Macaca mulatta: one gene and its partner. The protein of the gene in region 2 binds, or shares a complex with, the protein of the main gene of each other region. Links are inferred from orthologs where the notes say so. Each region holds a gene or a part of one and is shown on either strand. Other genes may lie near its edges. The genes, in order: LIN52 and RBL2.

Region 1 (9,397 bases), on a different chromosome or scaffold from region 2:
TAGGCACACGTGGCAGCACGCACCTGTAATCCCAGCTATTCAGGAGGCTGAGGCGGGAGGATCGCTTGAACCCAGGAGGCAGAGGTTGCAGTGAGCTGAGATCGTGCCATTGTACTCCAGCCTGGGCGACAAGAGTAAAACTCCATCTAAAAAAAAAAAAAAAAAAAAATTGATAATCCAGTTTTTAAAGATGCATGATGGGCAAGAGACACGAATAAGGACTTCACAAAAGATGTTATCCAAATGGCCAATAAACATATGAAAAGGTGCTCAACCTCATTAGTCATTAAGAAAACGCAAATTAAAACCACATTAAGATACCATTTACTAGAATGGCTAGAAGTTAAAAGACTGAGAATATACCTGTTGGTAGGGACTTGGAGCAACTGAAATTGCTGTTAGGCTTGTAAATTGATATAACCACTTTGGAAAACTATTAATATTTGGAAGTACCTACTAAAGCTAAATATATATATATACCCCTATGATCTAGCAATTCCACTTCCTACTTGTATATCCAATGAAAATGTATGTACTGGCCAGGCACAGTGGCTCATGCCTGTAATCCCAGCACTTTGGGAGGCCGAGGTGGGTGCATCACGAGGTCAGGAGATCAAGACCATCCTGGCTAACACAGTGAAACCCCATCTCTACTAAAAATACAAAAAAAATTAGCTGGGCCTGGTGGCGAGTGCCTGTAGTCCCAGCTGCTCGGGAGGCTGAGGCAGGAGAATGGCGTGAACTCATGAGGCAAAGCTTGCAGTGAGCCGAGATGTCACCACTGCACTCCAGCCTGGGCAACAGAGCAAGACTGTGTCTCAAAAAAAAGAAAATGCATGTACCAAAAAAAGACATATATCAAAAATACTAACAGTATTTATTTGTAATAACTAAAAGCTGGAAACAGTCCAAATGTCCATCATTAGTAGAATGAGAAAATAAATCGTGGTAACTTCTTACAGAAATACTACATAGCAATGGGAGAAAATCCAAATGATATAGCTGATGTCATAATTTAAACGCTGATCAAAAGAAGGCAGACACAAAAGAGTACATGATTTGTTGTTCTATTTACATAAAGTTCAAAGATAAACAAAATTATGATAGTATAAGTCACAGTAATGCTTGTCTTTGAGAGGAAGGGGCAAGTAGGGACTAGAAGGGGTACAAAGGAAATTTTGTATTTATATACTAGAAAGGTGTTTTGTTTTTTTTTTTTGAGATAGGGTCTCACTCCTGTCACTCAGGCTGGAGTACAATGGTGCAATCTTGGTTCACTCCAGCCTTGACTTCCCAGGTTCAGGGGATCCTCCTACCTCAGCCTCCCTAAGTAGCTAGGACTACAGGTGTACACCAGCAGGCCCGGCTAGTTTTTGTATATTTTGTAGAGACCAGATTTTGTCATGTTGCCCAGGCTGGTCTGGAACTCCTGAGCTCAAGTTATCTGCCAGCCTCAGCCTCCCAAAGTGTTGGGATCACAGGCATGAGCCACAGCACCAGGCGCAACGTTCTGTATCTTGATCTGTTTTGACCAGTGGTTACAGGAGAGTGTTAATTTTATGAAAATTCATTGAGAGCTGCACATTATAATTTGTGTGCTTTTCTTTATATACATTATACGTCAATGTTAAAGCTTATTAAAGAACAAAAAATAATGGGACAGTAGAATATTTTTATATTCTGAATCAGAATTCTCATTTTAGTGCTTTTCTCTTTTTATTTATTTATTGAGACAGGGTCTCACTCTGTCATCCAGACTGGAATGCAGTGGCATGATCATAGCTCACTGCAGTCTCAAACTCCAGGGCTCAGGTGATCCTCCCACCTCAGCTTTCCCAGTAGTTGGAATGACAGGAATCCTCAGCTTGCCCAGCTCTCTCTTCTCTTTTCATTCCATATCCAAAACTTCAGCCTATCAGATTCACCTACCATTATCCAACCATTCAGTCTTAAACGTGTCTTCTTACAATAGAGTCAGTCAAATACAACTACACCTGAGAAAACAAATCATTGCTTCTATTTTATTTTTCAATTTTTTTTTTTTGGTTATACCAAACCAAAAAGTAAAAGCAAAGTACCAACTTTTTAGTTTAGACTTAACAGTTAGAGATATTTCTCTTATACATATGCCAAAGTCATTATTTCTCTAGATTTCCTGTGACAAGGTACTTTGTGATCATTTACAAATTCCCATGCACTATCACTACCCTTCCAGATCATATTATCAACACAAACCAGTGGCAAGAACCAGAAAGAAATAAAGAAACGGGCACTACATTTGAAATACAAAAACACTCCTTATTTTGTTGAAATTTCTAGAACATCAATAACTTAAAAAACAAACAAACAAAATCAGAAAAACACCAACTGATTTCCCCATGGGCAGAAACAGTCATTCTCAAACCCAAAGGCTGGAAAGAAACTGAACTGCTATGAACACTTTTGTAATTACTTAGTTCTCATCACCTCTTTGTTATACCAAAACTACTTTCAAAGCCCCCCCGCCTCAAAAAAAAAAAAAAAACAAAACCAAAATTCCAGGTCCATTTCACCTCTCAGCCAAACAGCTGCAGTTCTATTTAAGACTGACAGACATTCCAAATGGTTCTTTGCTCCTAATGAGTAGTTAATACTAAGAGTTCACAGTTCTCCAACTATAGCGAAGACAGTCTGAAAACATAAAGTAACATCTTGGCCAACATTTGCTTAAGAAAATATGCCCTTTGGCCAACTAAATCATCTCTTGCCCATGACCCAACAGCCTACCATTTCTTTTGCTCCTAATTTCGATTTATGCAAGGGCATCCTAAGTATGGGAAATGAGGTATGTATGGGAAACGTTCACCTTGCTATTTATCACTTGTATAAACTGATCAATTGTTGTTAATGGATCTACTCATTTTTATTTAGAAACAGTTCACAGAAGAGCTCAAAAATTTAACTGCCTAGAAAATTCAGAGATGTAAGTACAATTTTGTTTCTAAAATGGCATACAACTTTTCCCTGTTTTTTAAAGTAGTATTTTTCCTATTCAACAGCCTAGAATGTTTATTGTAAATTTGGAAAATTTAGAAATTTTTAAAAACCACTCAAGATAGCCATTAAAACATACTGATGTATTTCCTTCTAGCCATTTGTCTATGTTCATGCTCTCAAAAGAAAAAAAAAAAAAGATACCTGCTGTAAAATTTTATATTCTGCATTTTGTCACTTGCTATTATCCTTATATATAATGAAACCTTTCTGGCATGAAATGCCCTTTAGTGCTTTTTTTTTTTTTTTTTTTTTTTTTTAAGAGACATAGTCCTACTCTGTCATCCAGGCTGGAGTGCAGTGGCACAATCTTGGCAGCTCACTGCAGGCTCCACCTCCTGGGTTCAAGTGATTCTCCTGCTTCAGTCTCCAGAGTAGCTGGGATTACAGGTGTCCACCACTACGAGCAACTGATTTTTGTATTTTTAGTAGAGATGGGGTTTCACGAGCTTGGCCAGGCTGGTCTCGAACTCCTGACCTCAAGTGATCTGCCTACCTTGGCCTCCCAAAGTGCTGGGATTACAGGCATAAGCCACGGTGGCCAGTCCTTTTAATGTTTTTTAATGACTACATTGTATTCTCCTGTATGGGTAACACTGTAATTGACCTGCTATTTCCCAAATGTTGAACTTTGTTTTACTATGTACTTTATTTTTTATTTTTGAGACAGAGTCTCACTCTGTTGCCCAGGCTGGAGCGCAGTGGCTTGATCTTGGCTCACTATAACCTCTATCTCCTGGGTTCAAGCGATTCTCATGCCTCAGCCTCCCCAGTAGCTGGGACCACAGGCATGTGCCACCACACCTGGTTAGGTTTTGTATTTAGTAGAGACAGGGTTTCACCATATTGGCCAGTGTGGTCTCAATCTCCCAATCTCAGGTGATCTGCCCGCCTTGGCCTCCCAAAGTGCTGGGATTACGGCATGAGCCACAGTGCCTGGCCCATTTTCTTATTTATCATATTTTCTGCAGAATTATATGGAATGCTACTTTGAAACCAACACCATCCAAATTAATTTATATTCTGCCTACTCTCCTCTCCCCTTCCCCTACAAAAAATCAGAAGAGAATAAACTACCACAAGCATTTTATGGTAAAATCCTCTTTGTGTGTAAAGCCATTTCAGAGGCAATGTTGGGTTTATGAAATGACTAACGGATAAAAGATTTGAATGTTTACAAGCCTTAAAGGTAATTTGAAGATTTGTATATCCTAATTTGTTAACCAAAGGAAAAATGAGAAATAACGGCATGATTTATTTCACAATATCATAAAACATTTTAAAAAACAAAATACTTAAGGCTAAATTGACAATTTCTAATTAAGAAGAATAACCATGATCCCTTCAAGGTGGAGTTCCTGGATTTTATGCTGTAACCTAAATAGGTACAAAGCTAATGACCATGGCAAGATGGTAAAGTAATGCACAAAACAAAGAAAACAAGGATAAGGTTCCATCGGTATTTGAGACACAGATTTCAACACAATGTCTTTAGGGTGCTTTTGAATCAAGTTCCCTGGCTTTATTTTTCAGGTTAAAATAATTTAAATTTATACTTAAATCTTTAACTTCCAGCCCTCGTCAACAGATAGGATCAAGAAACATGAAAAAAAAAAAAAAAAGCTCATCTTCACAATAGAAGAAATGAACATTAGAACAACACATTAATATTTTGCCTATCAAGTTGGCAATGACTTTAAAAAATTATAATACTTGTTATTAGCAAGGATATGGAGTGGGGAGTACCTTTTTGGAAGATAATTTGGCAGTTTGTTTCCCTCTCAATCACTAATCTCCAATTGCATGTAAATTGCAGTCATAACACCTAACGAGAGTTATCCCAGTGCTGATATAATCCAATGTCACTTACTTAAAACACGAGCAACAACAAATATTTTGGACCAATTCCTGTTACTTCAGATTTAAACTTCTGAAACTTTTTTCCAGTTAACAAAGAACTGGATGTCTACCGTATACAGAGGCCATGACAACTTTCTAAACTTGTAGGAAAGTTCAGGAAAAGTTCATAGGTAGGTACCCGAATGAAAAAGCACTACTGTGGAAGAAAACTATACAAAAGGCTGGGCGCGGTGGCTCATGCCTGTAATCCCAGCACTTTCTGAGGCTGAGGCGGGCGGATCATGAGGTCAGGAGATGGAGACCATTCTGGCTAACACGATAAAACCTCAGCTCTACTAAAAATACAAAAACTTAGCCGGGCGTGGTGGCGGGCACCTGTAGTCCCAGCTACTAGGGAGGCTGAGGCAGGAGAATGGCATGAACCCAGGAGGTGGACCTTGCAGTGAGCCAAGATCGCACCACTGCACTCCAGCCTGGGTGACACAGCGAGACTCTGTCTCAAAGAAAAGAAAACTATACAAAAGTCAGTCATTCTACTTAGCAGCCTAATGACCAGCCAAAGAAAATAGGGACTTCACAAGTCAATTTCTGAAGTTATGGATATCCTATTTCACCTATTGATTTCTTTCAGATCAAATAACTCACCGTTCACTATCTAAAACATTACCTGTTGCCTAGGTAATATGACTGAACTAGACATCTTATTAATAACACTAACCTCTAACCTCTACAAATGACATTTACTTATTTCTAAGAAAATAAAGATGCCTTCCTACAAAGGAGCATGTAAAAGAATTATGTGATTTTTGTTGTTGTTGTTGTTGTTAAGCAGGCATCTAGCCTCCTTCTGACTTCCCTGTCATTAATTAGGCTAAAACATCATGGTAAGCTCTAACTTCAGCTTATCCCGTAACATCCCCATCCAGACATTTACCTACTCCTAAAAATTCCAAATCTGAAAAATCTATTGTCAGTGTACTTCTTCCCATTCTTACTGCCACCATCCAAACTCTCAATCCTTCATCCTGGATTCCCACTGTAACTTCCTGCCTCCTGTCTCTACCATCCTATTCTCTCCTGTGCACTAATGCTTCCTAAAGGTGTTTATCTTTCCTATTCAAAAATCTTCAGTGGTAGAACCTTTAATGACACAGGAAAATGCTTAAGATAGAATAAAATTTTTTAAAGCACAAGTTAAAACTACACGCACACACACAACAATCTCAGTTATATTAAAAAAGCATTTCTGGCCAGGCGCTGTGGCTCACACCTGTGGTCCCAGCTACTTGGGAAGCTGAAGTGGGGGACTTGCTTGAGCCCGAGAGGTAGAGGTTGCAGTGAGCCAAGATTGCGCCATTGCACTCCAGCCTGGGTGACAGAGGGAGACCCTGTCTCAAAAAAAAAAAAAAAAAAAGAAAGAAAAGAAAGAAAAGAAGCATTATCTGTGTACATGGTACATGAACGGATGCAAGTATAAATATAAACACACACATAGACACATAAAGGGACTAAAAGTGGGGCCAGGAAACACATGAAATGTTAATAGTGGTTATCTCTTAGTGGTAAGGCTATGGTTTGTTGGTTTTCTTTTTTTTACTTTCTTCTTTACTTTTACAATAAAAAAATTGTAGTAAAATATCTTTTAGTAAAGTGTCTCCCCAAACCATCTATAATGCACACAGTTAATGTGATAGCATTAGAATACTTTTTTTTATTTTTTTTATTTTTGAGACGGAGTCTCGCTCTGTCACCCAGGCTGGAGTGCAGTGGCACGATCTGGGCTCACTGCAACCTCCACTTCCCAGGTTCACGCCATTCTCCTGCCTCAGCCTCCCGAGTAGCTGGGACTACAGGTGCCCGCCACCACGCCTGGCTAATTTGTTTTTTTGTATTTTTTTAGTAGAGACGGGGTTTCACCGTGTTAGCCAGGATGGTCTTGATCTCCTGGCCTCATGATCCGCCTGCCTCAGCCTCCCAAAGTGCTGGGATTACAGGCATGAGCCATCACGCCCGGCCAAGATACTTTTTAAAGAACATTTCACATGCTCCCTACTACCACTGAGTATAACTCCTTGATCCCTGGAGTTCAAGGCCCTCCTCAGTCTGGCCCCTCTATCTCCTTCCTAGTCTTAGTCATTATGAGACCTAATATAACCTGGGGTCTAGATTCAGCCACTCACACCATTCCTTGAACATAGCTGTTGCTTTCAAACTCTTTAACATTCGCTCTACCTAGAATATGCTCCCTTTCCATTTCTACCCATCTCTGTGTTCTTTAAAGTTTTCTTTCCTTCCTTCCTTCCTTTTTTTTTTTTTTTGAGACAGAGTCTCGCTCTGTCACCCAGGCTGGAGTGCAGTGGCATCATCTCAGTTCACTGCAACCTCTGCCTCCCGGAATCAAGTCATTCTCCCGCCTCAGCCTCCTGGGTAGCTGAGATTACAGGCGCCGGCCACCACGCCTGGCTAATTTTTTTATTTTTAGTAGAGGCAGGGTTTCACCATGTTGGCCAGGCTGATCTTGAACTCCTGGCCTCAGGTGATCACCCAACTCGGCCTTCCAAAGAGCTGGGATTATAGGCGTGAGCCACTGCACCTGGCCAGGTTTATTTTCAATGTTCCAGAAATTGCACATATTACTACACTCATTTCCCTTGTCTATAACAGACATCACTAATTGCCTTCTCCTCTGAATCTAGGCTCCCTCTCAAAATCCTTGTCAATTCAATGGTTCTAGGCAGGTCTTACTATAAATGAAACTTACCTGCCACTCCTGTAGCAATCTGATGCAATTGTCCTCTTCTCCCCTATCCATATAGTTCTTTGTACTCTCATAGAGCTTTTCTCCTCTATATTTTTTTAAGAATCATTTACCTTAGTTGTCTTATCTTCCTTTCGTACTAGATTTTAATCTACACGAGGGCAGTAATTATCTTCCTATCCCCTACATAGCCTTGTATGAAGTAGTCACCCAAACAGTTGCTAAACAGGACACTTCATTCTTTTGCTATTCAAAATGGTTAAATATTTGAAAGCTTTATTTTAAAACAATTAAATTGTTCTTGAAGGACTAATCAGTCCAAGGTAGTTTCATCAACTTTAGCTAACATTCCTGTTTAATGTAATAGAGCATTCATTGCCTGATACCACTGAAAACCAACAGAGTCCAAGGATACAAGATAAGCCACTGGTAGGGGAAATTACTGAGATAAGATAACTTAACCCATTTTTAGGGTCTTATATGCAGATATAAAAGGTATTGAATTAATCACATTTTTAGAATTTTTTTGTACTAAGTGGGAGAATCGCTTGAACCAGAGGCAGAGGTTGCAGCGAGCTGAGATTGCACCGCTACACTCCAGCCTGGGTGACAGAGTGAATGAAACCTGTCTCAAAAAAAATTGAAAAAAAAAAAAAAAAAAAAAAAAGGAAACATGTAAAAAACGATGAAGAGATAAAAAGAAAAACAAAAAGCTAAAAATCAAAATCAACAAAGTATCAACAAAGTTAGGCAAGTGGTCTGGTAAAAATCACAAGAAGAGGCCAGGCGCTGTGGCTCATGCCTGTAATCCCAGCACTTTGGGAGGCCAAGGTGGGTGGATCACCTGAGGTCAGGAGTTCAAGACCAGCCTGACCAACATAGAGAAACCCCATCTCTACCAGAAATACAAAATTAGCCTGGCATGATGGTGCATGCCTGTAATCCCAGCTACTCAGGAGGCTGAGGCAGGAGAATAGCTTGAACCCGGGAGGCGAAGGTTGCAGTGAGCCGAGATCAAGCCATTGCACTCCAGCCTGGGCAACAAGAGCGAAACTCTGTCTCAAAAAAAAAATAAATAAATAAATCACAATAAGTTTTTATATAGATCAAAAACCCAGTTCAAGAGAGTCTGTTAGTGGTACAGAAAGACTCATGCTGCCATCTAGAGGTTAAAGGCTAGATGATTTTTCTCCTCAGTCAAGGGCTATTAATTTAATTATATGAGAGGTAGAACTTAATAGGCCTAATAAGGGAAGCCAGACAAATAATTCAGATGTCAGCCCACAAAAATACATAAATAAATAAATAACACAAAGAAAAAAAAATACCCAGGGGCAGGGCATGATGGTTCACACCTATAATCCCAGCGTTTTGGGAGGCTGAGGCAGGACGACTGCTTGAGCCCAGGAGGATGAAGCCAGCCTGGACAACATAGGGAGACCCCATCTCTACAAAAAAAAAAAAAAAAATCAAGTCAGGCATAGTAGCACTCTCCTGTGGTTCCAGCTACTCAAGAGGCTGGGCTGGGAGGACTGCTTGAACCTGGGAGGTCAAGGCTGCAGTGAGCTATGACTGCACCACTGGACTCTAGCCTGGGCAACAGAGACCCTGTCTCAAAAAAAACAAAAAGGTATAAGAATCACAGTTATACTCTCCCTTCCCTCCTTTATATAATAAAATTACAAATCAAAAGAGCTGTTTAGAATTTTATCTAGATAGGAAACAACTTCTAAATGTAAATGATCA
Region 2 (10,282 bases):
CACATAAATGGCACACATTAATAATTGGTCCAGATGTCTGTCCATCATAAGTTCAGGACACTGAATTATGGAGAATTCAAAGCAGGTCCAGATTTTTTTCCTCAGTTCATCTGAAATATCTAGTTTGGCACAGAGATCCCGAAGGCGGACAGCTGCTAAATGGTATACCTAGGAGATAAACAAAAACATTTCAAACTGTGTTTAACACTTGTATTTCCCAAGCTCATGCTCTGGTAAGAGTACGTGAAAAATTACCTTTCTAAAGAAAAGTGATAAAGAGCTGGTTTTCCTGGGTCTATTACTACTGCTGGTTACAGACTGGCCTTGCTTCTGCTGTTGGCCACCTGGGGAAATCTGTTGAATGGCCACTTGACCAGGGACTTGCAAAGTTGTTCCTGTCATCTGTTGAGAGCTCAGACTTCCAGCCAGGGCCTGAGCACTGAGGGGCTGGATGGAGCCTGTCACAGCTTGTGCCTGCCCCCCAACATTGACTTGGACAGGGAAGAATGTTATCCCTCCATTTTCATTGGCAATACCTAGTTTGTGACAGAGAAAAAAGGCATGAAGAAAATGTTGATAATAAGAGGTTCTCCAGGCAGAGGTTTACAATTTCTCCTCTCCTGAACCCTCTCTCCCCATCACTCCTCTGTCCCCTACGTCACTCTAGCCAAACCTCGGGTAACTTTTCAATACACGCCACAGAGAAGGAACTCAATATCCAACTCTGCCTTCCTTACCTTGCACAGGAATGGTTACTGTTTGCCCATTGTTGGCTGTGACAGTGGCGGTTGCCATGGTGACCAAAGTCTGTCCAGGAACCGGTGTGACAGAAACAGCCTCCCCAGATACATTCTGCACAGGGACGGCATTGACTAGAGGCTGTGGGGGCATGCGCCCAGGTGTCCCTCCATCAGAGGGGCTATCATTCTCAACAAATAGCCGCCTTCTGGTAGTGCTGGCTGGTGGGGAGCTGTATCTATCGTATAATGTGGTTGGAGATGTTATGCCTAGGTTCAAAACAAATCAAACAAAGCATTTCACTGAAGGAGACTCAGATCTGACTTTCATCCAAGCTGTTATGTTCAAAAATAACTACAGTGTTTGAAATACTTCATAATTCAAAAAGCAAACAAGAATTACACAAGTCATCTTACCTATATCCATTAGTGAGTTTTCATTAGTGTTCAGTGAACACAACTGAGAGCAAATTTTAAAATGGAATTTTTTGTCTTGCAGTGCTCCTTTCTCCACTCCCCCTTTCCCAAATCAGACCCGACTCTGTCTTCCACTACTGAAGAACCTTCATGATTTAAGGAATTACCCTTTTTTTCTGTACTACATTTTTCTATAATATTTTCTGCCATATTTAGTTTCCACCTACCACTCACGTAAGATGTGATTTTACTATAGAGCCACTACTTCTTAAGGGGACATGATTGGTAGTATGTCATCTAGGAGCATTCCGCCACCAGTTTTATCAATTTTGATCTTTGTCTTTTTCCACATATAAAAATTATTAAAACTCAATAATGTTCTTAAGCAAGGTAGACATGCATGATTTGGATTCAATTAAGCATAATTTATTTTTTTAAAACAGTTTATATACCATAAATTTCATCCACTTAAATTGTACAATTCAATGGTTTGGGGTAAACTGTTATTTTTTTTTATTTTTTGAGACATAGAGTCTTACTCTATCACCCCGGCTGGAGTGCAGTGGCCTGATCTTGGCTCAATACAACCTCTGCCTCCTGGGTTAAAGTGATTCTTGTGCCTCAGCCTCCTGAGTAACTGGGATTAGAGGCATATGCCACCAGGCATGGCTAATTTTTGTATTTTTAGTAGAGATGGGGTTTCACCATGTTGGCCAGGCTGGTCTCAAACTCCTGACCTCAGGTGATCCACCCGCCTTGGCCTCCCAAAGTGCTGGTATTACAGGCTAGTTTTTTAAAATTGTGGGTTTAAAAAATATATATATAAATATGTATATTTTAATATATAAATATATATATTTGTATATATATTTATAAATATATTTGTATATATATTTATATATATTTATAAATATATATATGTATATATATTTATATAACAAAATTTACCATTTCATCCATTTTTAAGTATACGATTCAGTGGTACGATTAAGTGTATGATTCAGTGGTATCAATTACATTTACAATGTGGCCACAACAATCACCACTGTTTGTAAAACTTCTTCATTATCTGAACAACCTATTAAGGCTTAGTCTATTTTTAAGTATTCACAATAATGTATGAATTTTTGAGAAGCATTTCTTCCTTCTTCTGTGTCCACCTCTAAGAGCTGTGCATCAGTGTGTTTTTAAATTTTAAAACATATGTAGGAAGTTTGTAAGAAGTATTGATAGGAGTAAATACTAATAAATTGTGGCTTAACATTTCAATTTCCAGATGATAACAAAAGTAAATAAACTTACTAGATTTGTATTTGATACAACGCTGCAGAATCAGAAAGAATACATTATGATCATTTTTTCTTGTAAAATATCAAGAGATCTCAGGAAAACTGAGAAGTGATAAGTACAAAGAAAATGAAGTTTAAAGTCAAGTCTTCCTAATCTGTAGATTAGGGAAGGGAAAATTCTACAAAAATAGACTAAGAAAGACCAACTGTCAGATCTTTCAAAAATAAGGACTTTTCATAAGGATCATCCATGTCTATTAAGTATACACTGACCTAGAGTGATTTTTGTTTTTTTTTGGGGGGGGGTAGAGATGGCATCTTGCTATGTTGCCCAGGATGGTCTTGAACTCCTGGGCTCAAGCGATCCTCCCGACTAGGTGTCCCACAGTGCAGCGGTTACAGGCATGAGCCACCATGCCCAGCCTAGAGTGATTCCTGACTTTAAAACTCGTATTTCTTCTGTAGCCAGTTCTTACCAATTACATTATAAAAGTGATCTAGAAATAAGGATATTCTTTGAATTGGATCCAAGGATTTAGAACTCTCTGGATTTACTGAATTGCTCTTTAAAAAGCAGTTCTCTCTCACATATGTAAACTAAAACCTTTCACCTTGCAGATCTTCTAAGCAGCTGCCTAAAAAATATAAACCAGATGGATAGCAAAACTGCCCTTTTCTGTATTTCTTGGGCCAGCAGTAATGTCATTAACTAGGGTAGCACAGCTCAACACAGTAGAACACACTCAGTTGTCTTAACTCACTGCCTTGTCTATACCTAACTGGATCATGCAGCTCTATCTTTAAGAAGGCTTTTCTATTTCTCCTGATTTTAAAAGTAATACGTATTTGCCTTAAAAATTTTACAGAAATCACCAGGAATTCTATCACCCAACAATGATCTTAACAGTTTGGTTTTTCCATTTCCACCATTTTGCATGCTCATAAATAAACATACACTTTAAAAATAGGGATCATATTAAATATATAGCAGTCGGCCAGGCACAGTGCCTCATGCCTGTAATTCTAGCACTTTGGGAGGCCGAGGCAGGCGGATTGCTTCAAGTCAGGAGTTCGAGGCCAGCCTGGCCAATATGGCAAAACGTCTCTACAAAAATACAAAAAATTAGCTAGGCGTGGTGGCGCATGCCCGTAGTCCCATCTACTCAGGAGGGTGAGGCATGAGAATTGCTTGAACCCGGCAGGCAGAGGTTGCAGTGAGCTGAGATTGGGCTGCTGCACTCTAGCTTGAGCGACAGAGCGAGACTCTGTCTCAAAAGAAAAAAAAAAATTAAATAAATATAGCAGTCTATCGTCTATCCTTTTAAAAGATACCTGTTATATCATGCATTTTCCTGTGTTCTTAAATAGTCTTTAAAGGCCCTTCTTTTAAGTGATTCATGTGACACAAAAATGCATGGAATATTTTCTTCTAATATATACCCTATTAACTTCACTTATAGGGTTAAATAAAATTTAAATTTCCAGATAGTAAGCCCCAAAATATTCCCCTAGTATTTTAAACTTACTCCTTCCAAGACCTCCAGTATCAGCACGAACTTCAGTCACCCTTCTGGGAGTCAAAGGGGAGCCCGCAATGCAAATTTCATCTGCCCTTTCCAGGTTCTGAGGTGGCATGACCTGTGAAGAATTGGTTACACAGAATGCCAGGATCCAAAACAGCACTTTAATTAGAAATCCAATAGTAATCTAAGGCGGAAAAAGTCTCTTAACGATTATTCCATCTAAATAAAATCAGCTGTCTTTCCCATTTTCATAATAAAGTTAAAAAAAAAAAACTTTTGTCAGTCAAAAAATGCAAAACCTTGTAATTGGATACTAAATATGAGTCAACCTTCATTACTGGTTTGGAGAGTTTGAATATCAACCACTCTAAAGCAGGGGTCCCCAACCCCTGGGCCGTGGACCCTGTTAGGAACCGGGCAACATAGCAGGAAGTGAGCAGCAGGCAAGTAAGCAAGTGAGCAAAGCTTCATCTGTATTTATAGCTGCTCCCCATCACTCACATTGCTACCTGTGCTGGCCGCCTGTCAGATTAGTGGTGGCATTAGATTCTCATAGGAGTGTGAACCCTATTGTGAACTGCACACGTAAGGGATCTAGGTTGCATGCTCCTTATGAGAATCTAATGCCTGCTCATCTGTCACTGTCTCCCACCACCTCCAGATGGGACCATCTAGTTGCAGGAAGACAAGCTCAGGGCTCCCACTGACTGTATATTTTGGTGAATTATGTAATTATTTCATTATATATTACCACGTAATAATAATAGAAATAAAGTGTGCAATAAATGTAAGGCATTTGAATCATCCCAAAATCTCTCCCACCCCCAACCCTGTCCATGGAAAAATTGTCTTCCATGAAATTGGTCCTTGGTGCCAAAAAGGTTGGACCACTGCTCTATGGGAGAGAAACCTGATAAGGAAATCAAGAAAGAACACTGAATTTTTACTCTGTCACCAAAATCTTAGGACAACTACAAATTATCTGACTCGTTTCCTCTTTGACATGGGGTGAAGTATGACAGGTCACTTACCTTACTTAAGGGTGTATGTCTGCTGCCTAAACCCTGAAGGCTGGGTAGTGAGCCAAGGCCATGGTGCCCAGCCAAGGAGCAGGTGTCCCTGATAACCCAAACATCCCAGAGAGGATCTGAGAAACTACCAAGGAAAACAGTCCCATCGTGCACACACATAGTAGGCAAAGAGCCAGAAAATTAGCAGCTTAGCAATGGGAGGTGGTGAGGATCTCTAGAGCTGTCCTGCTGCTACCTAGGAGTACCCTGTATATAAGTCTTTTATTTTTCCCCACCACCTCTGCCTCCTCCGTATGTAAGTCTCTCTTTTTTTTTTTGGGACGGAGTCTCGCTTTTGTTGCCCAGACTGAAGTGCAATGGCACAATCTTGGCTCACCACAACCTCCACCTCCCGGGGTTCAAGCAATTCTTCCGCCTCATCCTCCCAAGTAGCTGGGATTACAGGCATGCATCACCACGCCTGGTTAATTTTTTGTATTTTTATAGAGACGGGTTTTCTCCATGTTGGTTAGGCTGGTCTCAAACTCCCAACCTCAGGTGATCCACCGGTCTCCGCCTCCCAAAGTGCTGGGATTACAGGCATGAGCCACCGCGCCCAGCCCCTACATATCTAAGTCTTAATAAACATATCTACTTGCCAAGCTGGACTTGTCTGAGTCATTCTTTGTCTCTTGGCACCTTCCTAATTTGCGGGTAGAGAGGGACGACGTTACAGTCCCAAGTTTTTCTCATAACAAGGTGTAATTAATTACAACATATTAAACCCAATTGCCACCCTCCCATCCCCAAAAGGATTATTAATAGATTAGATATTGATGTATTTTTCTCATAAAAAGATGTTATTTTCACAAACCTCTTCACATGTAGGAACTCTGTTTTCATTGTCTCTAATTTTTTCCCAGAGTGGAGACTCTGGTTTCCATGCCAAATGATCTAAGATCTGTTCTTCAATCTGATTAAGGTGTTTTACCACCTCTCTACAAAGGCCATCTTCTGCTCTAATGAATACTTCTATCACCTGAAATAAAAAATGTCCTGATTCACTGAATAATAATTATTAAATATTTTTGAATATTTAGACAAGAAATTAGTCAAAAATTACAAGTTGAAATATTTTGAAACAGCTGCTCTTCCTTTTACTGTCTTTGTAAATAATTATAGTTCAAACCATGTGAATTATATAAAATGGTTTACATTGTGATGTATTTCAAAAGTTTTTAATGAAAATACATGTATATTGAGGTTGAAAACATTACTCTTAAAATTTCTATACATTTAATATATGTAAAATCTATATTATACATTTAATAAAATATTAATAAATATAAATATTTATTAATATTAATTTTATTAATATTAATAAAATCTATACTATACATTTAATACATATAAAAATCTCTAAACATTTAATCTATACCACTATAAAAATTAGTTTTGACTATCTTATGAGAGTTAAGATAAACTCATATGCTCAGTATCAAGAAATAGCTACCAAATCAATGCTTTAACTCTATGCCTCTCTGTAACACATGAAAGAGAACTTTCATTTTTTTCTGACATTTACAGTGGTATTTAATTTTCATAAAATAAAAAAAGGCTGCTATACAAGATTAGCTAGTGACATGTGTGCTACTTTTTTAAGCCTTCTCATCTCATAAAAATCACAGTATTCTAAAAACTGTTATTACATAAAGAGAGGAATCAAAGCTTTTACCCAAAATGGATCTTTCATACAATATTAAAAAATTTACATAGGTCTTAAGATTCTATTTCTTTTCTACTCCACAAATAGTGATTAATTATGTAATTAAAAACAGAATAAATATACTTAGATGTTAACTTGAACTAAATGACTAACAACAGGAAGTTGGTCTCATCTACAATATCCACATTATATCATATTTTTAAAAATACCTTATAAAAATGATAAAGAGGCACTTCAAATATTTCAGTAATAAATGGAAAATTCCCAGGAGGCTTGTAAGAAAAAGTGACGACCTCAAGGCAGCAGGCCAACAGAGATCTGTGGAAGGCATCTTGTTCCAGAATACCCTATAAAATACAGTTATTAGCATTCAGAAACATTTACTTAATCTAAAAAGTCATTTCATACCCAGTGAATTTAAGTGAAAATACCAAAGAAAGTCTCATTTTCTGACTGAGTGCAAAGTGTATGCTTATTTTCTTACAAAACCTTTCTTAATTATATAAATAAAGCCCATTTTTTAGTAGAGGAAACATATTAAAGGAATGTATGAGACTTTTAAAACCTTACCTATTATATCTTAAAAGAGATTACATCTCTAACCAAAATACACACACCCCCTGATGCTTAGAAGAACAATGACAGAGAAAGATGTTTCAAAACAGTATTTACAGTCAGTGCTATAAAAAACTGAAAGGGGGGCCAGGCGCGGTGGCTTATGCCTGTAATGCTAGCACTTTGGGAGGCCAAGGTGGGCAGATCACCTGAGGTCAGGAGTTCGAGACCAGCCTGACCAACATGGTGAAACCCCATCTCTACTAAAAATAGAAAATTAGCCAGGTGTGGTGGCACACACCTGTAGTCCCAGCTACTCAGAGGCTGAGGCAGGAGAAGCACTTGAACCCAGGAGGTAGAGGCTGCAGTGAGCCAACACTGCACCACTGCACTCCAGCCTGGGCAACAAGAGTGAAACTCTGGCTGAAAAAAAAAAAGAGAGAAAAAAAAGAAAAAAAAAAAATTGAAAGGGGCCAGGCGGGTGGCTCATACCTATAATCCCAGCACTTTGGGGGGCCAAGGCGGGCAGATCACTTGAGGTCCAGAGTTTGAGACCAGCCTGGGCAATACTGTTCAAGAATCGCTTGAATCTGGGAGGCAGAGGTTGCAGTGAGCCAAGATTGTACCACTACACTCTAGCCTGGGCAACAGAGTGAGACTCTGTCTCAACAACAAACCCAAAAAAACAGAAAAGCAAGCAGGCAGGTGACTGGCTAGATGACCATGTACCAAAAGTCAATATGTTTATCACAGGATGACATTAATCATAGGTGATTTTTATTTTCTTCTTTTTGCTTATAATTTTCCAACATTGTAAACAATTATTATTTTTTAATTAAAAGCTACTGAGGCACCAAAAGCACAGGTAACAGGCCAGGCGCAGTGGCTCACGCCTGTAATCCTAGCACTTTGGGAGGCCAAGGCGCACAGACCACCTGACGTCTGGGGTTCCAGACCTGCCTGGCCAAACATGGCAAAACCCCGTCTCTACTGAAAATACAAAACTTAGCTGGGCATGGTGGCACATGCCTATAATCCCAGCTACTTGGGAGACTGAGGCAGGAGAATTGCTTGAACCCAGGAGGCAGAGGTTGCATTGAGCTGAGATCGTGCCATTATACTCAAGCCTGGGCGACAGTGCAAGACTCCATCTCAAATAATACATACATACATACATACATACATACATACATACACACATACACACATTAAAAAAAAAGCACAGGCAACTAGTGAAAAAATAAATTGGATTTCATCAAAATTAAAAACTTCTGTGCATGAAAGGAGACTATAAATAAAGTAAAAAAACAACCTACAGAATGGGGCAGGAAGGAAATTATGTTTTACTGTGCTGATCAATACATTGGTTATTTTACTCACAGATAAATCCATGTCTCCTAGTCTTTTTTGTTCCTGCTCAATAACAGATTCTAATACTTTATAGTAAAGCATCTCCGCAAAACGAAAATGTTTGCTGGCAATTTCTGTAGAAATAATAAAAAAATCCACAAAAATGGCACACAAAGAAAATAAAGGCCCATTCATCCTTCTTTACTCACAAAATAAAATTTAAAAACCAACCCAATACTTTAGATATACAAACTTCTTATGACTGGTGTTTTAATTATCCCTAAGATACCTTAATTTTCTTCATGGTAACAGTCACATTTTTCTAAAATTATTAAATGAATTTGCACATAAAGAACTATAATATTATTTAAGACTTACACCCTTTTATCCCCTCTATGGTTGAACAAAACAAATCCACGCTAAGAGGTATGTAACTGGCTTACTATTCCACACCTACTTAGTTCCAATTCCTGACATCAAACAATTCCCAGGCCAGGGCCCGTAACAGTGATATCTTCTGTCCTTATTCTCAATATGTTAAGAATCACTACGCTTCTATTTCATTTCCAGTTTACAAAAACAAAAAACTAAAGATTTGCAGATAAAAAAGCATCAGAAGTCCATTAAAATAAAAATACCACTCTAAAATTTCTATCTTACTGAGAAGGGCTCAGAAATCACTTGGTTGACCAGAAAAATTGGATAGCCATATCCTAGCCCTCAGTCTAAAGTCATAAATCTTTTCCTCATCTTTCTTAGTTAGTAAGAAATGACTCCATTTAGTTAAACTTCAAACATAAGAGCAGAATAACAATATTAAACCTTACCTTTAGCACAATTACTGAAATCCTCATCTGGCTGGAAGTGCTGAGAATATATTTCAAACATTTCTTTCAGTCTGTTAGCAATAGCCTGGGTTGGATCTCTGGAACATGTCCTAAAAAGGTAATGAGAAATAACATAATTTAAAGGTCCTGGCAAGTCACAAGGGGATAAAATGTTTCTATAACTTCACTAACATGTACATATAAAACACTCTGAACAGAAACTATACACTTCCCAAATTAATCCAAGAGATCCTATACTTCCTTTTCAAAGGTGGTGGTATTACCAGTTGGAATGGAAAAAAAAAAAACTTTTCTTGTATGGGGCTACACCTTTTATTTTATATATTTATTTATTTTTTGAGACAGAGTCTCACTCTGTCATCCAGGATGGAATGCAGTGGTGCAATCCTGGCTCACTGCAACCTCCACCTCCCAGGTTCAAGTGATTCTTCTGCCTCAGCCTCCAAGTAGCTCGGACTGCAGGCACCTGCCACCACGCCCAGCTAATTTTTGTATTTCTAGTAGAGATGGCCATGTTGGCCAGGCTGGTCTCGAACTCCTGGCCTTAAGTGATCCACCCGCCTCAGCCTCCCAAAGTGTTAGGATTACAGGAATGAGCCACCTTGCCCGGCCGGGGCTACACCTTTCACTGCAGGAAGTTTAGCAACCTTGGCCTGGCTCATTCGATGTCTATGACTGTCCCCCACCTGTCCTTCACATCCCCCAGTCACTGATGATCCAAAATTGCCCTTAACTACTTCCGTAGAGGGCAGTACAACTCCCATTAAGAACACCTGGAAGAAAATAGAATGAAGGAGTGTAAAACCCATACTACAGACTCATATAAA

What was found.
Region 1: RBL2 (region 2) and LIN52 share a complex: the UniProt entries of both Homo sapiens proteins name them as parts of the DREAM complex. The link is inferred for Macaca mulatta from reciprocal best matches to the Homo sapiens genes RBL2 and LIN52.

Annotation. Positions count from the first base shown.
Region 1 is NC_133412.1:147,295,674-147,305,070, reverse strand, and holds the end of LIN52 (protein lin-52 homolog), read right to left. Parts: intron 6,282-9,397; coding exon 6,121-6,281; 3' UTR 4,166-6,120; downstream 1-4,165.
Region 2 is NC_133425.1:48,944,677-48,954,958, reverse strand, and holds part of RBL2 (retinoblastoma-like protein 2), read right to left. Parts: intron 9,545-10,282; coding exon 9,435-9,544; intron 8,742-9,434; coding exon 8,638-8,741; intron 7,050-8,637; coding exon 6,912-7,049; intron 6,016-6,911; coding exon 5,851-6,015; intron 4,082-5,850; coding exon 3,970-4,081; intron 1,008-3,969; coding exon 738-1,007; intron 537-737; coding exon 256-536; intron 169-255; coding exon 1-168. UniProt on the Homo sapiens protein: Key regulator of entry into cell division. Directly involved in heterochromatin formation by maintaining overall chromatin structure and, in particular, that of constitutive heterochromatin by stabilizing histone methylation.